Linked DNA regions of Alligator mississippiensis. The protein of the gene in region 1 interacts with the protein of each later gene in a pairwise test. Links are inferred from orthologs where the notes say so. Each region holds a gene or a part of one and is shown in the gene's direction. Other genes may lie near its edges.

Region 1 (10,604 bases):
GGACCTTGGAGTCCTTAAAAGACACTGCCCCAAATCCCCCAAAACACTGGCTCAGTGAGGAAACAGGCAGGGAAAGGTGTGCAGGCCTTTTTCTCTGGAGGTGCATGTCATGTGTACTACTTAAAGCAGAAAGCGCTTACTTTAGAATCCTTTTGGCAAAGTACCCGTGTGTAAATGTGCTTCAAGAAGCAAGTATTCCCTGAGAGGTGTAAGCAGTAAAGCAGAGTGCCCACAAGGTTGGAGGTCTGGGAAGTTACTGTGGTGTCTAGGGGTGAGCATGACCCTAGAAGCCTAGCACAGCTGGACCCCAGGGTCTCATCTCTCAAGCAGGGGTGCTTGAGGGAGAACCTGCCTCCTCCCAAAGCCCATGTAGTGACCTAAAGCCAAGCAAAGTGATGGGACTCTGGACACTTGAACGCACGCAGGCCCAAGCACAGCAGCCTGGCAAGTGTCCAGTGTGGGGGGCATCACCAGGGCTTTGACTGCAGGACACAGGCATCACAAGCCCATTGCTAAGAACCCCTCCCATCCCATGGGTGAAACTGGCCCCGTCTCCTTCAAACCTCCCAGTGCTTCCAAAATCCAGGCAGCTGCAATCCTGAGCAAGAAACAACAGGAAGAGCCTTGCATCTTTGCTAGCTTCTCTATGCAAAGGCCACCTGGACATGGGTCTTGTTAAACCGCATGAATCCTAGCCACTCCCTGTCTCTGCTCGCTGCCTGGCTTTTGTCACGCAAAGGAAAGCTGCCTCCTAGCTGGACACGCTGCACATGGGATGTACACATCTCAGATAATGTTTAGCACGCCCCATTAAGCAAATGCTCTGGGAGTACGTTTCGCCACCTGGCTTTGCTGCAGAAGTCACGTGGGAGAGGGATGCCTCCCTAGGCTGCAGAGCTGGTGCGTGATGAAGGCAGATCTGACGTGGTTTCCTGCCCAGCTGCTGCCGGTTGGCTTTCAGGGGCACAGCTAGAAGGAGCAAACCCATTTGGAAAGGAAAGAATGAGATTTGTGTTGACGTCAGCGCAAATCTTTTGTGCTCCAGCACTACTGAAGGCAGAGAGAGACATCGTGACACAAATGAAAATGTGCCCAGAGTGATACACCCACGTATGTAACAGCTCGTGTTGACACACTCAGAGTCACCTGCACAGAGATAGTGACACGCACAGAGACAGGCAGGCACAAAGATGCAGAAGGACATGGGCATCCACAAACACAAACAGAGGCAGGTGCAAAACCTGCTGACTTCAGCGGAGCTCCTTGTGTGTGTGAAGTTAGATGTCCTCTAAGTGTTTACAGGTCAAAAATTTTTATCAGGCTTGGATCTCTGTGTCGAACTGCTATTGTCTGCCTGCCTAATCAGCCTGTCTAATGCTGCATGGCCATGCTTCCAGCAGCAGGATGAGGCTCCACAGTGACTGTCCTTGTTGACTATAAAATGCCTGGCTATTGCTGAAGGCCAAGGGTGCAGAGTGTTATGCTGCCGCTTTTGGGCATATAGGTCTCATCTTAACAGAAACCATTTGTGTCCCTGCCTGGGCCTTGCACACTTCTGGAGACGTCCCGGCACCTCCTGGGCTGCCCCAGGCCTGTGTGGCGGAGCTGGGATCAGAACGTGCCTTTCCAGATGCTCTGTTTTGTGACTAATGGCTGAAAGCCCCCACTCCCTCCTCTGTGGGGGGAGGCTGCTGTCATGGGGTGACAACAGAGGCCCAGTTCTGCTCCCACTGGAGACCATAGCCGAACAACCTGGAAGGAGCAGGTTTTATGCGCATGTAGACATGCATGTTTATCGATCCTGCTCCGTGCAGGGGGTGGACTTAGCAGGCCCCTTCGAGGCCCGATTCTCTAGGATACTATGAGTAATGGCTGCCCGTACATAATGCATGAGGACTGATCTCTGTGATGGCTCTGATCTTTTCTCAGAAAGGAGAGTGGGAATCCCCTCATGAGCATTACACTCAGGAGTGCTTCCCCTTGCTCTAATTACCCTTTCACATAAATGTCACAACAGAAATCGGGAATTGCATTGATGTATCCGCCTGCCTCCGTAACCTTTTGTCTTCCTTTCCAATCCCACTTCTTTAAGAAGATGGAACAGCCTGTATAATATGGCAGCACTTGTCTGTGCTGTTACTGGGTGCAGACTGTGGAAATGATCAGTACTTGGTTACATTATTTCAGTGTTATTATAGTAGGTTGTTAAGTGGAGTTCATATACATATATTACAATATGCATAACATGTACCATCATTTATGCGGCTAAGAGAAATGCTACAAATATCAGATGTGTCACAATAGGCAGCAATTACCTTTGCACAACCTTCTGTAACAATTGCCCCTATAAGCTAATAAGTACAATGCAGTGACAACACTTTTCAGTGTTGCTAGTGTGGCCCTTGCTGCCAATTCATGACTAGAGAGAGACACAGGCTTTCCTCTAGAAAGGGGCTGCCCTGTCCTCCTCAGCATCTGAAAGTGAGCATCTGCTCACGACAGCTTGTGCTATATATGTCTACGTGCAGCTGTGTGTGTAGCCATCTCTGTGCACATGAGGCTGAGTGTTGGCATGTGTGTGTCAACACGAGTTATTACATGCATGTATGCATCACTCTGGGCACATCTTCATTTGTGTTATGATGTCTCTGTCTTCACTATCACTGAAGCACTAAAGATTTGGGCTGATGTCAACTCAAATCTTATATGGATGTTATTCATATTTAGGAGATGAATAACATCATAATATAGAAATTATTCATATTCATGAGATGTATATATAACAGGGCCCTTAGGGTGATATTTTGTAGGGACCTATCTCTCTCTCTCTCTCTCTCTCTATCTAGTAGGGACCAAAATATATATTTTGTAGGGACCTATCTATAGATATCTATATCTATCTTTCTATAGATATAGATATCTATAGATATATATATACGTACATATGTACATACATACATACAGACAGATAGATAGATAGATCTTATTAATATATATATATATATATATATATATATAGCAGGGACCTTAGGGTGATATCTTGCAGGGACCAAAATATATATATATATATACACACACAGACACACACATATACACATCTATATATATATATATATATATATATATATATATATATACACACACACATATATTTATCTATCTGTCTATAGACAAAAGATAGATATATCTATATATTCATGATATATATATATATAGATATATATAGATATATATCTCTCTATATATATATAGCAGGACCCTTAGGGAAATATTTTGTAGGGACTATGTAGCCGAGATAAAATTAGACATGCTTTCAAATGCAAGACATTCACATACACACACACCCACCCACACCCACACCCACACACATATGAATGTCTTGCATTTGAAAGCATCTAACTTTATCCCAGCTATGTAATTGGTCCCTACAAAATACCACCCTAAGGGCCCTGCTACACATTCAAATTAATGCTGGCTGGATACCAGCTATAGAGTTGTGACACATTTTCAAGCGCTCATTTTATAGCTGGTTGGCTCTTTTAATAGTCGGAGAATCATTTTTATCCAGCGAGAAGTACTTTGCCCGTGTGGCCGGTCTAAACTGATTGCATGACTGACCGGTTCACCGCGTGACGGTTTCTTCGGGCTCGTGCTAGAATCCCCGCGGAGGTCGCATCTCGTCCACACCCCGTGCAAACCGTCCCGTGTAATGCGTCATCTCAACTGTGCGCAGAACGGGGGTCACCCCCGACACGACACACGCCTCACACCCGAACCCGCCGCGGCAGGCGAGCATGCGACCTTACCGAGCGCCTCACGTGCGGCCTGTCTCGGACCAGCGACCGGCCCTCAGAAATCCTCGCCTGGCCGGCTTATCGCGTGGCGACGATGTGGCCCCCTAAACGAGCCGTGTGACGGACCAGCGAACAGCGCGATGTATGTGACGTGGCGCAGGGCCCTCAGAAATCCTCACCTGTCCGGTTCGATGACTTGACACGCGCAGCTGCTCTAAATGTATTGCACGACTGACCAATGAATTATGCGATGTATGTAATGTCTACCAGGGGCCTTCAAAATCCTCGCGGCGCTGGTTCATTGTGTGGCAATGACTTGGCACGTGTGGCCTAAATGTACCGTGTGACGGAGTGAGCGATGTATGTAACGTGTACCAGTCCCTCAGAATCCCAACCCCCCCCCCCGCGCTTAGGCACCGCGCGCAATTCCCCGCTCGCTGCGAGGCGGAGGCCCCGCCCCCTCCCCTCCCTGCGTGCGGCGCAGCGCGGGGCCGGCACTTTCCCCCCGCTCCCTGGGGCGGGGCGGGGCGGGGCGTGCCCGCGCATGCGCAGTGCGGCGGCGGGGCGCTGCGGCAGTTGGTGCGGGGCCGTTTCCTGGGCGCGCGGCGGGAGGTGAGTGCGGCGCGCGGAGGGGCCGTTGCCGGGGGGACGCGCCAGCCTCGGGGGACGCTCCCATTGGCCGGCCCGGAGGGGTGGGGCGGTTAGGGAGTTGCCCCCCTCCCGCCGGCGGGGGCTGGGGGCGCTGCGCGCGCCCCTGAGGGGCAGTGACGTGGCCCCCCAGCCCCTCGCACCCCCTGGCTCCACATGTCGCCACGCGCTGAGGGGGCTCGCGATGCCCCTCGCCGTGACCCCTCGCGTTCCTAACGGTCGCCCCCGGCTGGCAAAACGTCCCAGCTTCGAGCACCTCGGCGGCGGTGGTCACCCCGGGGTGCCGCGAGCGCCCTCAGGCTTCGCCGCATCGACCCAGACGGGAATCGGCGGTGCTTCGCAGCCCCCCACACGGGAAGGCGGGTCCGACGCGCTCCGGCGATGCGCCCCCGTCGAGTCCGGCATCTGTCTTTCCCGCGTTGTGCAGTCTCCGTTTCGGACGGCAAAACCGGAGATCTTCCACATCGTGGGGGCGCCCGCCGAACGCGGCGCGGGCGCTTCCCGAGGGGTGCCGTGCGTCTTCTCAGTGGCGCGGGCACTTCCCGAGGGGTGCTACACGTCTCCTTGGTGACGCGGGTGCTTCCCGAGGGGTGCTACACGTCTCCTCAGCGGCACGGACCCTTCCCGAGGCGTGCCACACGTCTCCTCGGCGGCACGGGCACTTCCCGAGGGGTGCCACGCGTCTCCTCAGCGGCGCAGGCACTTCCCGAGGGGTGCCACGCGTCTCCTCAGCGGCACGGGCGCGTCCTGAGGGGTGCCACGCGTCTCCTCGGCGGCACGGGCGCTTCCTGAGGGGTGCCACGCGTCTCCTCAGCGGCACGGGCACTTCCTGAGGGGTGCCACGTGTCTCCTCAGCAGCGCGGGCGCTTCCCGAGGGGTGCCACATGTCTCCTCAGGATTCCAGCAAGGTGCTCGAGGGGTGGCTGCTCTGGCATCGTCCTCGGTCCGTTCAGGGATTTTACTTGTGGGATGGGATTGTATTTTTTTTGGAAGGCTAGACGTATATGATATATAATAAACGTATATAACACGCGCTCTGGGAAGCTTGCTTGAACGCGACGGGCTCCGAGCGGCTGCGTAATAACAGCCCCTTCTTGCCCAACACAACTGCGCCCTGCGTGAACTGCGAATTAGATCCGGTCGCTGATTAAAATACACTTTATTGCCCTGCGCACCTGTTAGCCCAGGGAGAAGGAGCGTGGTGTCGCCGTGACAGAGGCCCGATCCATCGGATGGTTATGCCTACGAGTCATTTCCGTGACGGCGGGTTTGCACAGTTCAGACTCTATGTTTTGATTTTCACGTCATCTGTTCTCTCTTCTCTCCCCCTTCCCTCCCTGGTTTGTATAATGTCACTGACAGCCAAATTTTTTCAATGCCATATTACATCTGCACTGGCAACTGTCAGGAAAACTGTCCTCATCTTCTGCTTGAGCAGTTTCGCTCTGGAAATCCGAGATACAATACCATCCAAGTGGAGCCTGTATCAATTTAACAGTCATATTTTGGAGTAGAATTACACTTTAAAACACTCTGTTGTAACTGGTCCTTAGGTCAAAAGAGCTGTCAGAAGTTTGCCAGTTTCATTGCAACCGTTGGAATTTATTCCAGCATAAATGTGGTGTCGTGACACACTGCAGCTTTTATTCTGTCCAGTTCCTTACAGGCTAATGGTATTGCCAAAAGCTTGGTGGAATAAAATACAATTTCTGAGACAGATAAAAGACAGATGTTATGAGATCAAGATATGCATTGTCTTCTGAAGTTTGAAAGTAGCAAGTGTACCCATATATTTGCTTCTGTCGCGTTACTATTCTAAACGCTTCCTGGGGTGTGGATGTGCAAAGACTCAATTTGAGCAGGAATTTGTCAGACAGATTTTCAGCTTTTAAGCAGCCTTTAAAAACATTTTAAAAAATGCTTAAAGGATCAGTGTTTTGTCAGTTGTAGCTCCAAATTTAGGTTCAACTCAAACTTAAGTTTTGCAGAAATAAGTGTTTGATAACCTAAAACCCCTAGAAATAACCATTAGACTTTTTAATGACAAACAAAAAGCCCTCAATTTTTTATTTTTTTTTTAAAGAAACCAGCCCCTTGTGTTTGCAACTTGAGCACCACATCGTTATCTGAAAGCAATGACAGCAAACTTCTTAGAAAATATATACAACCAGTTAATTTTCTTTGCCCAAGATGAGAGGGTTTTTTCTGCATCTCCATCTGGATCGGTATTCATTCATGGAGAAGGAAATAAAAACTGATTCAAATAGGACATTTAGCTTGACTCCAAGCCTCTTAAAGAAGCAAATAACTTTTGTTCCTTTCATACTCTTCACTTGCAGTCCAGCAACAGTTCACTTGCCTCATCTCAAGAAGGGAACATGCAGGTTATCTAGTTGTAAATCTGGGCAAGGAAAGATTCAAAGGATTGGTTATAAATCAGGCTTGCTGTGCTCTGGAGTGAACTGAGTTGGAATCTGCAACCTTTGAGTTCAACAAGAGTGACACGGCCCTGCACAGGAAGAGGTGCAGGGGAGAAAGGTTGCCTGCTGGCAGCTCCTCCCTGAAGACAGGTGCTAGAGACAAAGGTAGAATCAAATAGATGACCTGCACAAGGAGCTAAATTACCCGCTGGTTCTGCAGCCTGGGAGTTGGGGAGCATGGCAGGACCTGGCTAATTTGATAGCATGGCACCTACATGGACTTGGCCATTTAAAATCCATTCTGTTCCGACCCAAACTAACATTGCCCTTTGGTAGATGTTTGGCCTCGTAGGAAGGAAATTAGTTCTTGCAGTCTAGGTTTGGGTGCAAAGTTTCACATGCAACTCATTCCCCAGTCTTAAGGTTTTTCTTCACTGCCAAAAAGGTGGAGAAAACAGCAAAAACAGTCTCCCCGCGCCTGAAGAAGGGCGTTTGTATCCAAAGGCTTGCAAAGATCAATTTTTCCAACTATTTAGTTGGTCTAGTAAAAGATATCACATCTACCCAAATAGCCTTGTCAGTAAAAACCAGGCACTATCGTGTTGCCGCAAGGTCAACTTGCTGAAGTAAACCCCATGCCCCCGCTTGGGGTTTACCCGAGTTCACCTCATGGTAAATGAGGTGCCTTGTCTTCTCTTCATTTTTACCCCAGGAGAGTTTATGTGCACTCGTTACCCTGAAGTAAAAACACAGGTTTCTAGCAGTGAAAATAATAATAGGGAGGGCAGGACTGGATGGCCTTGGAACTGAACTCCTGTCTCACTCTTGGAGGTGGTGACTCTATGTCAGGCCTGGTGCACATTAGTAAGTAAGTGGGGAGGGTGTCCCTTTGTGCTGTTTCTGTTCTTTCTCCAATTTACAGTTGTATCAAGAAAGCACAGAATGGATTAAAAAATGCTTGAATACCTGGCTACATTTAAAGTGGCCAAGGTATCCATCTTCGAAAGTTGACCTCCGCTGTCCAGGCATAGCTTATCCTTTGCACACCTCTAGAATAGGCATTTTCTTGAGATTATTCATCAGGATAAAAGGCCTCATCTATGTGACTGGGGAAACTCATACAGTGCATTGTGGCTGTGATCCAGGTATTAATGGTTTGTATATTTTTAATATTATGGGTCGTCATTCGTAAGGGTGATTCGTAAAATGTTAAGCTCTACTGTGCCCAAGCAAAGCACTCAGTGCAAATTTACTTTTCCTTTATTACTACAAGCAATAGAAAAATACAGAATGTACAACAACTTATGCGACATCTGGAAGCAAAATCCAATGTTGGTATTTCAGGGCGGCTGCCACAAGCTGTTGATAATCTCAACATGCCTAAATAAGAGTAACTGGTCTGTCCCAAACTTCCTACATGTGCAAAAAGGCCAGACAGGTGCTATGAAAAAGCATATGGCAGATTTGAGGGCTTCAGTGTTGAAGCTTAATTAAGGACAGTACATTTTGGGGCAACGATAACCTAACTCAGGTGCCAAGAAATTGAGATGGGCACCCAGTGAATTCTGCCTGCCTCTGAATCACACTAATCGCTGAATAGTTTTATTACTGGTGTGATATATAAAAGAAGGTATACATTAGATAAAGACAGCAATAGATTTGCTGTTATTTCCGTGATACTTAGCCCCCTGCTCAAACTTGTTTTTATACTGAATGGCTGTGTGCAAAGTAGAGTTTTTCACTTCTCTTGTACCTTTTTCAAATCTGGTACAGATAAATAGTAGCTAAAATTTTTACTGCTACCTTAATTTCTTTTGTTCAAAATTTCTTCTGCAGATTTCACCATTGCAATTGCTGATAAGTTACTCCCTTTATGGCAGTCTTGGTAGAGATACAAGTTGGGACAGGATATGGAAGATAAAAGCTTTTTTTCTCTTTGATTACACATATGACACCCTGTATACATACAAGTCAGTGTAATTTTAGGCTCCTGGTTTGCAGATTTTACCAGCCAAAAACAAACAAACCTTAAAGCAGTGAAGGTGAAACTGAAGGAGAATGGAGAAGGGCGGTATTGAGGAGTGACAGTTGCAGCAGTGATAGATCTGTAGGTGTGATATCGGTCATGTACATCTCGTTAGGTCCTCTTTCCATTTTTAAAGTGAACGTATGAACAGTGAAAATGGTATTTGTATCTTGGGGAGACGGCAGAGAGGGAAAGGCAAAGCTGTTGAGAATAAGCTTTGGGGAGTTCTGAACGGTTTCTTTCCAGAGCCAAAATGAAGTATGTTAGTAGGTCCTGGTGCGTAGGAGGCTTGTGCTGCCCCCAATTCTGTAGGTGAGCAGAGAATGTCAGCACCCAAAACTGCTACTCTGGCTCATTTCACCAGCCCACTGTTTAAATAGGAGATGGGGCCGGGGGCAGCACTTGCTCCATTTGTACCCTGCAGTGTCCTGAAGTCATTTCACAATCCATGGCTAATTTAGTTATTTAACCATAAGAGCAACATTTACAGCTGCCAGTTGTGTTTGGAACGTTTCCAACCAAAGGGGTTTTATGCTGAATTTATGCTTAGTAAGCAGATTACAGTTTAACCTCTTCTGGCACAGATGGCCTGGAGAAGACAGAGGCTCAGAATACTCTGAAATACTCTGATTTTTCATTGTTTGCTTACAAAAGCAGTAAGAGCATGCCCTTGGATTAACTGACTTTTGCCCAGGTCTTTGTACTCTAACATCTTGTGTAATGCGTGAGTATTTACCACATAGTGTTTCCCAAGGGCTTAGTGAGGTGGATCTTAGTTTAACACTAAAGTGAAGAGACTATAAAAAATTATTATATGTGGTAGTCATATCAAGGTAAGTGATGTAGCCAGTTCCATGAATTACTAACAGAAACAACTCCGTTTTTTATATATTAAGAGGTGTAGGTAAGTCTCTCCTGATGTCAGGATGTAATGAAATGCTGAATTGAATCTAGCTCAGGGGTGGGGAAGTATTTTGGTCAGAGGGCCACTTAGGGACTTTTGGTGAGCTGTCATGGACTGGGTCAGCACCCCCTGCCCCCGGCCTGCAACAGTTCATCAAAACTCCCTAAGTGGCTCTGCCTCAGGGCCTGGCCTCGCACTGTCACCACCCAGGGTCTCCATGGACCCATGTGAGTAGGGTGCACTGAGCCAGGTGGATGGGATGGGGTCAGGGGTGAGCAAGGACCGGCATGCAAGAGCGGGATGGGCGGGGCTGGGATCGGATCGTGGGGCAGTGACAGCATAGGCCTGGGACAGAGCTGTGATCCACTCCCTGCATGCCCCTGCACGCGGAACCGGCTCCCATTGCAGGGACGTGGGCAGCGGATCGTGGCTCTGCCCCAGGCTACAGCCCCACACTGTCACCACCTCAAGATCCCGATCCCAGCCCTGCCTATTCATCCTGCTCCTGGATGCTGCTCACGGCCCCATCCCATCTGGCTGGCCAAGTGCGCCCTGCCTGTGCAGCTCCCAGGCCAGTCTCCATAGAGACCCCACCTGCCCTCTCCATCTGGCACCGATGGCAGTGGGTGTGGGGCAGATGGGCTGAGGTGCCCAGGTAGTGGGGCCAGTCTGGTGGTGACAGCAGAGACTGGCAGTGGTAGCTGGAAGGAGCTGCTGCTGTGGGGGCTGCTGGGAAGTGAGTCCAGCCGCTGCATGCTTGGGGATGGCGATACTGGGTGCATACCCCACAGCCTGGCCTGCCCCCTGTGCCT
Region 2 (9,304 bases), on another chromosome or scaffold:
CTGCTGTGGTAAAGGATATGATTTCCAACCCTCCCCCCGCCCCAGCACTGAAATACTTAAAGGAGTATAACCCAATTATATTGGTGAAAAGGGGACTTGTATCAGTATATCAATTTAGTCCTGAAAATTTAGGGGAATAAACTAAACCAGTATAAGCACCTTTAACGAACAGAACTCTCCCTGTGGGATAATTATTTGTATTAGTGCATCTGTCACCTACAAGTGTGGGATTATACTCCTTTGTCTATCGGGGTATACTTAAAATAGTACAATTTCTGCACATAAATCAACTCAAAATTTTATCTTCGGCCCCTGTTAAAAGTTTTCATGGTTAAAGATTTTCTGCTGCTTGTTTCATTGCTAATTACAGCTTCAAAGAAGTCAGATGCTTGTGACTTAAGTTGGTTTATATAGATAAGTTTTTCATTAAGATTTGTTAATGATTGTAGAGGTATATGAGGTGGGGTTTGATAAACTTTCCTGTTATCAAACTTGCTGCAACTCTTCAGAGATGAGATTCTGCAATTGGCAGAGTTTGTCCTGTTGTCACTTAGTGAGGCCTAGAAAGCCTATATCCAGATTGGGAGCAGGACTTGTCTTTCTCCAGCAATACAAGTCCTTTTCTTTCACCAGCATACACTTTTCCATGTGCTATCCAGAAGGAAAGTAAAAAAAATCACTATCTTTAAAAGAAAGGCTATAGGAGATGCCACTTCCCAGTAGAAATTAATGGCATTGGATTTTGGGAAGGAAAGAGGTGTATTTGGCTAAAACTTGAGGATTGGTAGTGTTGGACTGATGTTATAGCTGTGGTAGTCCAGGAAATATGCAACAGGCAAGGTGGGTGATATAGTTCATTGTACCAACTACATGGTTGGGATAGGCTTAAACAAGCTTTTGAATGAAGAGCAGTGCATTGTATTTGAAAGCTTGTCTGTCCCAGCCTCTCCAATACTACTAATTATCACGTGTCAGCCAACAGCACAAAATTCCCCTGCCACATGAGAACTGAAAGCATGCAAAGAATTTGAGAGCAGTAGCCCTTTTGTATTAGTCCCACTAAGTCTCCCAACCAGCCTCATCAGGCCCTTTTGAATATCCCACCCTAGAAGCCCCACTCCAGTCAATCATAACAACTGAAATCTGTATTGCCAGTGCATCCTTTTTGTTACCACACTCCTTTCTGAGGTGACCTGTCAAATCCAGTCTTTACTGTATTTATAATATACACATCACCCTGGTATCTAAATATCATCTGAATAGTACTTATGTAGTACTTAGTACACCAGTTCTGTTCTCTTATGTTTTAATGTGGGTTTTCGGGCTGAATTTCAAAAGGGAGATTAGCACTTCACAAAGTGGTTTGATGCTTATGTGTACGTGGTTTCACAGACCTTTTTTGTTCTTGGAGTACCATCTTACAGTGCTTAGCATCTCTGCAAGAGAAATAAAAATAGCAAATATTAGGTAACCATTCTTCATTTTCTACACTTGAGTTAAATTATGTACATGTTTGTATTGTAAATTAATCTTGCTTATACAAGATTTTTTAGCCACAGGATTTTATTTCTGGTTATTCCCTTTCAAGGCAAAAGGTATTTTCACCAATACCTAGCTGCTGTCTAGCAGAAGGTACAGGCGTTTATAGCCTGTCTAGGCAGGAGAATCTGGCTGGATTATGAGATGAAAGGCAGCCAGGAAGACTCTTCAATGAAATGTTATTCTGATTTCAAAGCTGGCTTTTTTGTGGGGCCACTCTTACATTCAGTGACCAGCACAGCTAAGGCTTTGGATAAACACCCTGTGGTAATTCACACTCACTTTTTACACTGATGTAAACTATACTAGGCTCAGGAATAGACATATGTTCAGTTATCCCAGGGGTAACATAATAGGCAGCTAATACTGTGCCTTGCTACTTGACAGCAGTGAGAGGGTAATAAACTTTTGGCCTTTAGCAAATGGCCACCTCAACATGGATGTGGACAATTAAAACCTAAACTGGTATGAATTAATGCCAGCAGTTTTTTAACCCTTATTCTTCACAAGACTGGGCAACTTTACCCTAGTGAAGATGAACTGTGTTGTCTGCCATCCACTTCTTTACAGTGCTGCAATGCTGATAGCTTTGATGATGGACACATTTGTTTTGTAGCTTTCTGGGCACAAAACTAACAATTTGGTCTTTGTTCTTCTACTTTGTGTTACCAGTGACCTGAGAGAATCATCCACATTTATACTGTACCCAGTCCAAATTTATTTTCTAAGGTAGTAACAAAAACCTAGTAGGACAATGCAGCTTTGTAAAATTTCTTCTATAGGTTTTTGACATTCAATGTTTCATTAATCAAAATGACTAAGTGTTGTCAGAGAGAACCTGTTAATGTAGAAGCAGGCTTGCTACTAATTCTTGAAGGAAAGGTGCATCCATAGCTATTGAATTTGGGAGTGGAGTGAGGGGCACAGCCTCTGAATCGGATCTTCCTAGATCTTATGTACTAGTGATTGCAAGTGGGAGAAGAACAGGAGAAAACCCTGTTCATTCTTCCTTTCAGCATCCACTTTCTGCCACTGTGCGACAGGATATGGAGTAACATGGACTGACCCAGTAAATGGCAGTTCTTATGTATTTCTAGGCTGCGTCCACATGAGCGTGGATGTTTGGTTCCCCAGGGACAACTAGCACCTTGTGCCACCGCTAGTTGTCCCTGGGGGATGCATGTGCCCTCTGGCATGTGACAAGTTACCGGGTGGGGTAGGGGAGGCTGAGGCCAGCACTGGGCTGGCCCCAGCAGCCTTACCTGGGGTTCTGGGGGCCTCCTGGGGCTGCAGTAGTGGTGATCCTGCCACTCGGAGCCTGGCTGGCAGCTGGAGCATGACTCCAGCCAGCCATGCTCTAGTTTTGAGTGGCACGTGCTGCCCCCGGTGCACCTCTCTGCTTTTTTTTTGCGTGGGTTTTTTTGATCACTGGATATCCAAGGGTAAACCCCCACCCCCAGCGCTGCTCCTTTGCAGCATGGAGAACACCTGAATGTGCAATACATGGCACAACAGATGTGTCTGTGGCACCACATAGCACATGGCTGCATTCAGCTGGACGTGGCCCTAGAGGCCTTGTGGGGGAAGTTCTTATGAAGGGCAGGACAAGCAAGTTTGTTGCTGGAAAAAATTGCTATGCTTTTCATTCTGCAGACATACACACCCACCTTAATAAGGATCCTAGGCAGTGTATGCACATCTTGACGTAAGGAGTATGATAAATATAGACTGAGAGCTTCTAAAACACTAAGAGCTGAGGTTAGCCCAAGTTTATGCTTAAGGAAGTCTGAGGTAACTCAGTTGTGTCCCTGCACTGTTCACATCACTTGGTCTAAGACCTGAGGTTTGGCCGGGATGCATATAGGAAGGCACTAAGAGGGTTCAGTCCTCAGAGGTTGGGTTGAGGGATAGTTGCAAGTCAGATTTCAGATGTGAATTTTGACAACATAAGGGCTGTTTGGATTTATAGCACGCAGGGTAGATGTGCACCTTATAGACTAACTAGAGGAGATAATATATAATTATATATGTAATTATATATTACATATATAATTGTGTGTGCGTGCGTGTATAAATCTCCTTTGGGTTGTCTATAAAGTGCACATCTACCCTGCCTTTTACAAATCTATGTAATCTATATAGCTATATAAATGTGTGTATGTGTATATATATAAAATCTGCTTTGTGTATTTATGTGATTATAGATTAGATATACACACATAGTAGATTATATATACAAAGTAGATTATATATACACACTCATATATATAATCTATATAATAATAGTAATATATACATAAATAATCTATCATGTATATAGATTAAGTAATACATATTTATATATATGTATAACTATGTTGAAGAAAGTGTATGTGTATGCATATACAGCTGCATAACATGCATAGCCAAGCGTAGGTGGGTTGGAGTGTGTGTGTATGTGTGCATGCATGTGTGTGTGTGAACATGTTTGTGTGCATGTCAGTGTGCAAATGTGTGAACATGTGCACCCGTATGTGTTAATGTGTGCATGAATCTGTGAATGTATGTGTGAACGTGTGCATGAGAGTGTGAATGTGTGCATGTGTGTGCACAGGGGTGTGTCTATGTATGTGTATATCACAGTGTGTAAATGTGTGTTTGCGCGCGCATGTGCGTGTGTGTAATGTGTGAACGTGTGCATGAATGTGCGCACGTGTGTGTGTGTGTGTGTAGGTGTGCGCCTAGCCAAGCTTTGGCGGGCTGAAGTTCACTTCACGCCGTGCTGCGTCCCCTCCCTGCTCCACTTGGGAGGAGCGCAGGCGGGGCGGGGCGGGGCGGCCCGTACTCCCCGCTTGCGGACGTGCGGGGCTGGGGCGCCGCCTCCCCCCCAGTCCAGGCAGTCCCGCGGCCCCGGGCCGGCCGGTGGGGGCGGGGCGGGGCGGGGCGGGGCAGGGCTGCAGGTCTGGGCCTTGCCCGGCAGGGGGCGGCGCAGCGGGTGGCGGAGGAGCGGCGGTCGCATGCAACAGTGCCAGGCACCGGCGGGGGGAGCCGCGGCTGGGGCTAGAGACTCCCCCCGGCGCGCAGGAGGGAGCCCTCGGCGGGAGAGGTGAGTGCCCCGCTCTGCGGCCGCTGCGCGTCCCCAACTCCATCCCGGGGGCTCCAGCTGCGCTCCAACAGCTGTCAAACATGTGGAACAACCCCCGCGACCCCTCCGCGCAGAACAGACGCCCCCCCTCGCCTCGCTCTTCCCCTCTCCCCCTGCACTGGGGGCCTGCCCCGGCCAGTGGGTTTGTGCTCCCCTTTCCTTCCCCTCGGGCTGAGCAGGGGCTGGGAGCGGGGCGCGGGGGTTGCTGCTGGCTGTCCCCTGCCACGGGACAGTCCCAAGGAGCATCGGGGTCTCAGCGGTGGCAGGTGACAGAACAAGGAGCGATGGGTTCAAGCTGCAGCAAAGGAAGCATAGATTGGACCTTAGGAAAAGAATGTCTCACTAGGAGGCTGGTGAAGCACTGGGGCAGGTTACTCAGAGGTTGGGGAATCTCCATCCTTGGAGGCTTTAAAGACAAATGGCTGGGGTCCTGGTTTGAGCAGGGGGTTGAAGTCCGTACCTCCTGAGGTCCCTTCCAACCCTCATTTTCTATGATCCTATGTGCCTGCCCTGGAATATACTGCCACAGCCATGGGCAAGTGCCAAGGATGGGATGGATGGCTGGTTCCCTGCTGGGCTGGGGGAAGGCTATGAGGCAGCCATGGATGAGGGGAGCCATAAGGAAGGGCTGAGGGATCAGGTAGTGCCTCCCCCCTGCTACCGCTGCTGCCACCTTGGCAGTGTTCTGAGCAATGGGAAGTGCTGAAGTAGTTCTTGGAAGTACATTGAAATTCTGGGATGGAAAGGGTAATAGAAATGGGAAGTATTTTTGTTTCCTTCTAATTTTGTCCCAGATTCAGATTTTTTGACTGTCATAGAAAGAACTGAGTCTTGATAGCTTTGTCCATATCAGAAGTTTAGAGATGCGTGGTGGCATAAAGGGGACCACAATTAAATGCAGAGCAACAGGACTGTAGGAGGTAATATTACAGTTTTCTGACATTAACTGCCATACAATTGATGATGTTTCCAGGGAAATCATTTCATATTTAGGGTTAAAAGCTTTGTTTCTTGTATGGATAAGGAGTTCATCATTAGACTGAACAAACTAAACATTGCTAATCATTCCTGTAACTCTATTTTGGAAGTCTCAGAAAACTGCCTTGCATTAAGCACATCTAAGAGAAGGTTAAAGATTGACTTGATCAGTCTACAAAAAACTATGGGGAGAAAAAGACCTCTGATAGCAGAGGGCTTTTAACAAGGCAGAGGCATAACAGGATACAGGAGTTGGTTGCTGAGGCTATGCAAATTCAGATTTCAAAGTAGAGCACACATTTTTAACTGTACAGGTAACTGCCCATTAAAACAATCTGCCTCTACATGTAGTAGCTTGTCTGTCTTCTGGAGTTTTAAATAAAGACTGAGTACTCTTCTAAAAGAGATGCTATAGTTTAGCCACGAATTCTTGGTTTTGATACAGGAATCACATGTTGCAATTTTATGTCCATCGTTGTCCAAGGAGTCAGACTAGCCAGTCACTTTTGGGGCTTAAAATCTACTGATCTTTGTCCACAATGGTGGGTTTAAAAAAAATAATAAATATATTGATTATTTTGCATTTACAAATGAGTGACATACTTATAGTCATGATATCTTTGAACTAGCAGAAAATACAAGCAAATATAAAGATTGCAAAAACTCAGAATCTTGAGAAAGTTACAGTTTCTGTTCCAGCTCACATAATCCTGACTCACTTTGAAATAATAAAATAATTAAATGAACAGCTATCAGAACTGACCTAAGCCAGCATGGTACAAAAGCTAACAGTGAATACTTCACATATATAACTTCCTTTCAAAAAATAGGAAGGCAATTATTTTGCCTGATAGCCCAACAAAATATGAAAGAAAGAAAGACTGTTATCTGGAAATATAGTTAGTTTTTATAAAGTTAGTTATGTGTGACCTTGATTTCCCCCTGCCAATTTTTGTGGTTTACAATTTATAATTGCATTTTCCTGTGGTTTTAAAATGTCTTTGTTGCTGAGTGGAAAAACCCACACAAGTGATAAGGGAAAATGATTGATAGGGGAATCATTGAAATAATCTACACGTACTATCAAATCAAGGCAGCAAAAATATTTTTGTTTTTCTGATTCCTCAGTTACTTAGGCGTTACTTGTAACAACAGGTCTTAAATATTTTTCATAGAAAATGTGTTTTGTAAGTTGAAAGTAGTCTTTTTTTAAATGAAAATTAAGAGTTAATATTATGTACTCTGAAATGACCACAAGTCAGATTTTTCAGGCAATAAAATTCTCTCCATGGAAATGGGAAGTATCCATGTATCCCTCACTGAGGATGAACACTGAATTCCAAACAGGAAATGCAAACATAGGTCTTGTCTATACTATCTATTTTTTTTGCTTATTATTAATTGTGACTCAAGATAACCAGAGTGTTTGTAGAAGTTCATGTGAATATTTCTCTAAATGCCAGTTAAAGGGTGCATTAGCCTTTACAAATCCTTAGCTACCTTGAGACGATCGATAAGTCATTAACTCAACATTAACTTTGCCAGAACTAGTAGGCAAAAATACTTTACTTTTCATAGAAGTATTTCTCCAATGTAGCAAATCAGGAAAGGTGAAACTTCCCTAGTGTCCTCTTACCCCAGTGGTGCAGCTCAGACACCAAAAGACTTCTGGATAAGGGAAGGTCTGCTTCATTAATGTATGCAGGATTATACCTTGTTATTTTTGCCAAACCTTTGGCAGACACTGCTTTTTGGAGTTAAAAGTACAGCTGCAGTTCTGCATAGTTTAAGCAGAAGTCTAGTCCAGTGAAGATATAAGGACCACATCCTACTCTGCCTACTGGGTGCCTAAGTGGACTTAAGTACCCAGATGTGATCCTGTTCCACCCTGCTTGAATCCCTGAACAAGCAGTAATTCAAAAGGAAGGCGAGTCCTCCTCCTCTTTGCTGTTTATTTGAGACTCTAGCTTTTAGACTAAGATGACTATGTGGTAGAAAAGTAGATATGTTAATAGATTTCCAGGGACTTGAACAGGGTGGAATTCAGTTGTACATAAGCGTCTAATGGGTGGAGTACACTCTGGCCCTAGCTGGAGTCTAGCTAGAACCAGCATGTATATTGCCTGATGCATTATACATGAGGAAACATCAACATCATAAGCTGCATTTCAGCAAGGTACTTAAACATCTGCCTTATATTAAGAACAGGAATAGTTGAAATAATGAGACCACCCATGTGCCTGAAGTTAGTTTAGGTACTTTGCTAAACTGAGGCTAGACACCTACTTAACATTTTTTAAAACTTTAAATTGCTTTACTTAGGAAGAAATATTTGTCTAGGAAAATATTAATCTGAAGCATATTTACACATTTACTTCTGAATTTCCATTTTGTTGTTGTTGCTTTTCATATGTGGTCCTGGTTATTGCAGCCTCGTGCCTGGGTAGGTATTAGGATTAGGAAAAGCAGCATGCTTCTTAATGGATATTCTCCACGAAGAGTTAAGGTACTTTTCACCATTTTACTTTAAATGAATGGGAGCTGTGAGAGTGGAGTCCTTGTCTGCTTAGAGGATCTTAACCAAAATATCTAGGTACTGCACAGGTCTGAAATGACCAAAAAATCTTTTAAATCTGACTTCAAGGCTGCTTTGTCATATTTTTCCTCCAGATTCTGTTTGTGGTAAAGTTTAACTCTCTCCTGATTTTTTTTTTTCTGACAAAAAGGATAGAATCTGTTTGTCACAGATGCAATTTCCTTCAGAACCATGCACGTTTAGAGATCTGGATACCTTTTGTTAAGAAAGCAAAGATGGGGGGAATGAAAAGCAGAATCAAATATCACGTGGTTGTTCCTTGAGTGCAACAAATGGGCTCTGAGATCCAACATCCAAGGTGCTTGAGGTCTCTGAAATAGAAAATAACAGGTATTTGGGAAACTGATTTGTCTTACCTACTTAAGAGGAGGGGGGAAAGGAGGTAAGGAGGATAGGAAAGATTTTGTTACATTAGATATTACCTGTTTAAGACTCTTTTTCTGTTCATATAAAACATGACCACAAACATAAACACACTGTAAAAAAGGGGAAAAAACCAAAACAACCATACTTTCTACTGATTAGGTGGTTATAAACCAGTGCCTCCAAAAATCTTTACCTGTTGTTGAATAAATATGTCCAAAGGAAGAATGGACATTGCAACAATAGATGCATTTGTTAAGTAGATTATCAGAGTTGAAGACTAGGTCAGAAACTATAAACCATGATTCTTCAGGATATTTGTTGTCTGTGCACATGTTTGTGTAATGCCCTTGCATTATTTAATCAAGCAATTTAAGGAGATTCTGGTTGTTTGTTAAATCGTAGGTGATATAACTATGATCTTTTTAATCCATGCAAGAACCGTAGAAGGGTGTGATATCCACCTGACTTGGACATCTGTCAGTTCTTATTAAAGAAGTAATCTCCAGCTCTCTAAAAGAATACAATCAATGTCCAGATAAAATGCAACAAGAAATACCTTAGAGCCAGAAAACAACTGACAGACTAGCTTTAAGAACAGCAGGACAATGCAGCAAGTTGCTTGGGAAATTAGTGAAATCTCCCCATTGGAGATTTCCATGAAGGGCTCAGATAGGCACCTGCCTGGAATGGTCCTGTTTCTG

Evidence for each region.
Region 2: the proteins of NT5C2 (region 1) and MOB3B interact in binary tests that used the Homo sapiens proteins (3 or more experiments, as listed by UniProt). The two-hybrid records come from large-scale screens. The link is inferred for Alligator mississippiensis from reciprocal best matches to the Homo sapiens genes NT5C2 and MOB3B.

What each region holds. Positions count from the first base shown.
Region 1 is NC_081829.1:98,822,695-98,833,298, forward strand, and holds the start of NT5C2 (cytosolic purine 5'-nucleotidase), read left to right. Parts: upstream 1-4,330; 5' UTR 4,331-4,338; coding exon 4,339-4,406; intron 4,407-10,604. UniProt on the Homo sapiens protein: Broad specificity cytosolic 5'-nucleotidase that catalyzes the dephosphorylation of 6-hydroxypurine nucleoside 5'-monophosphates.
Region 2 is NC_081826.1:171,266,802-171,276,105, forward strand, and holds the start of MOB3B (MOB kinase activator 3B), read left to right. Parts: upstream 1-4,492; 5' UTR 4,493-4,624; intron 4,625-9,304. UniProt on the Homo sapiens protein: Modulates LATS1 expression in the Hippo signaling pathway which plays a pivotal role in organ size control and tumor suppression by restricting proliferation and promoting apoptosis.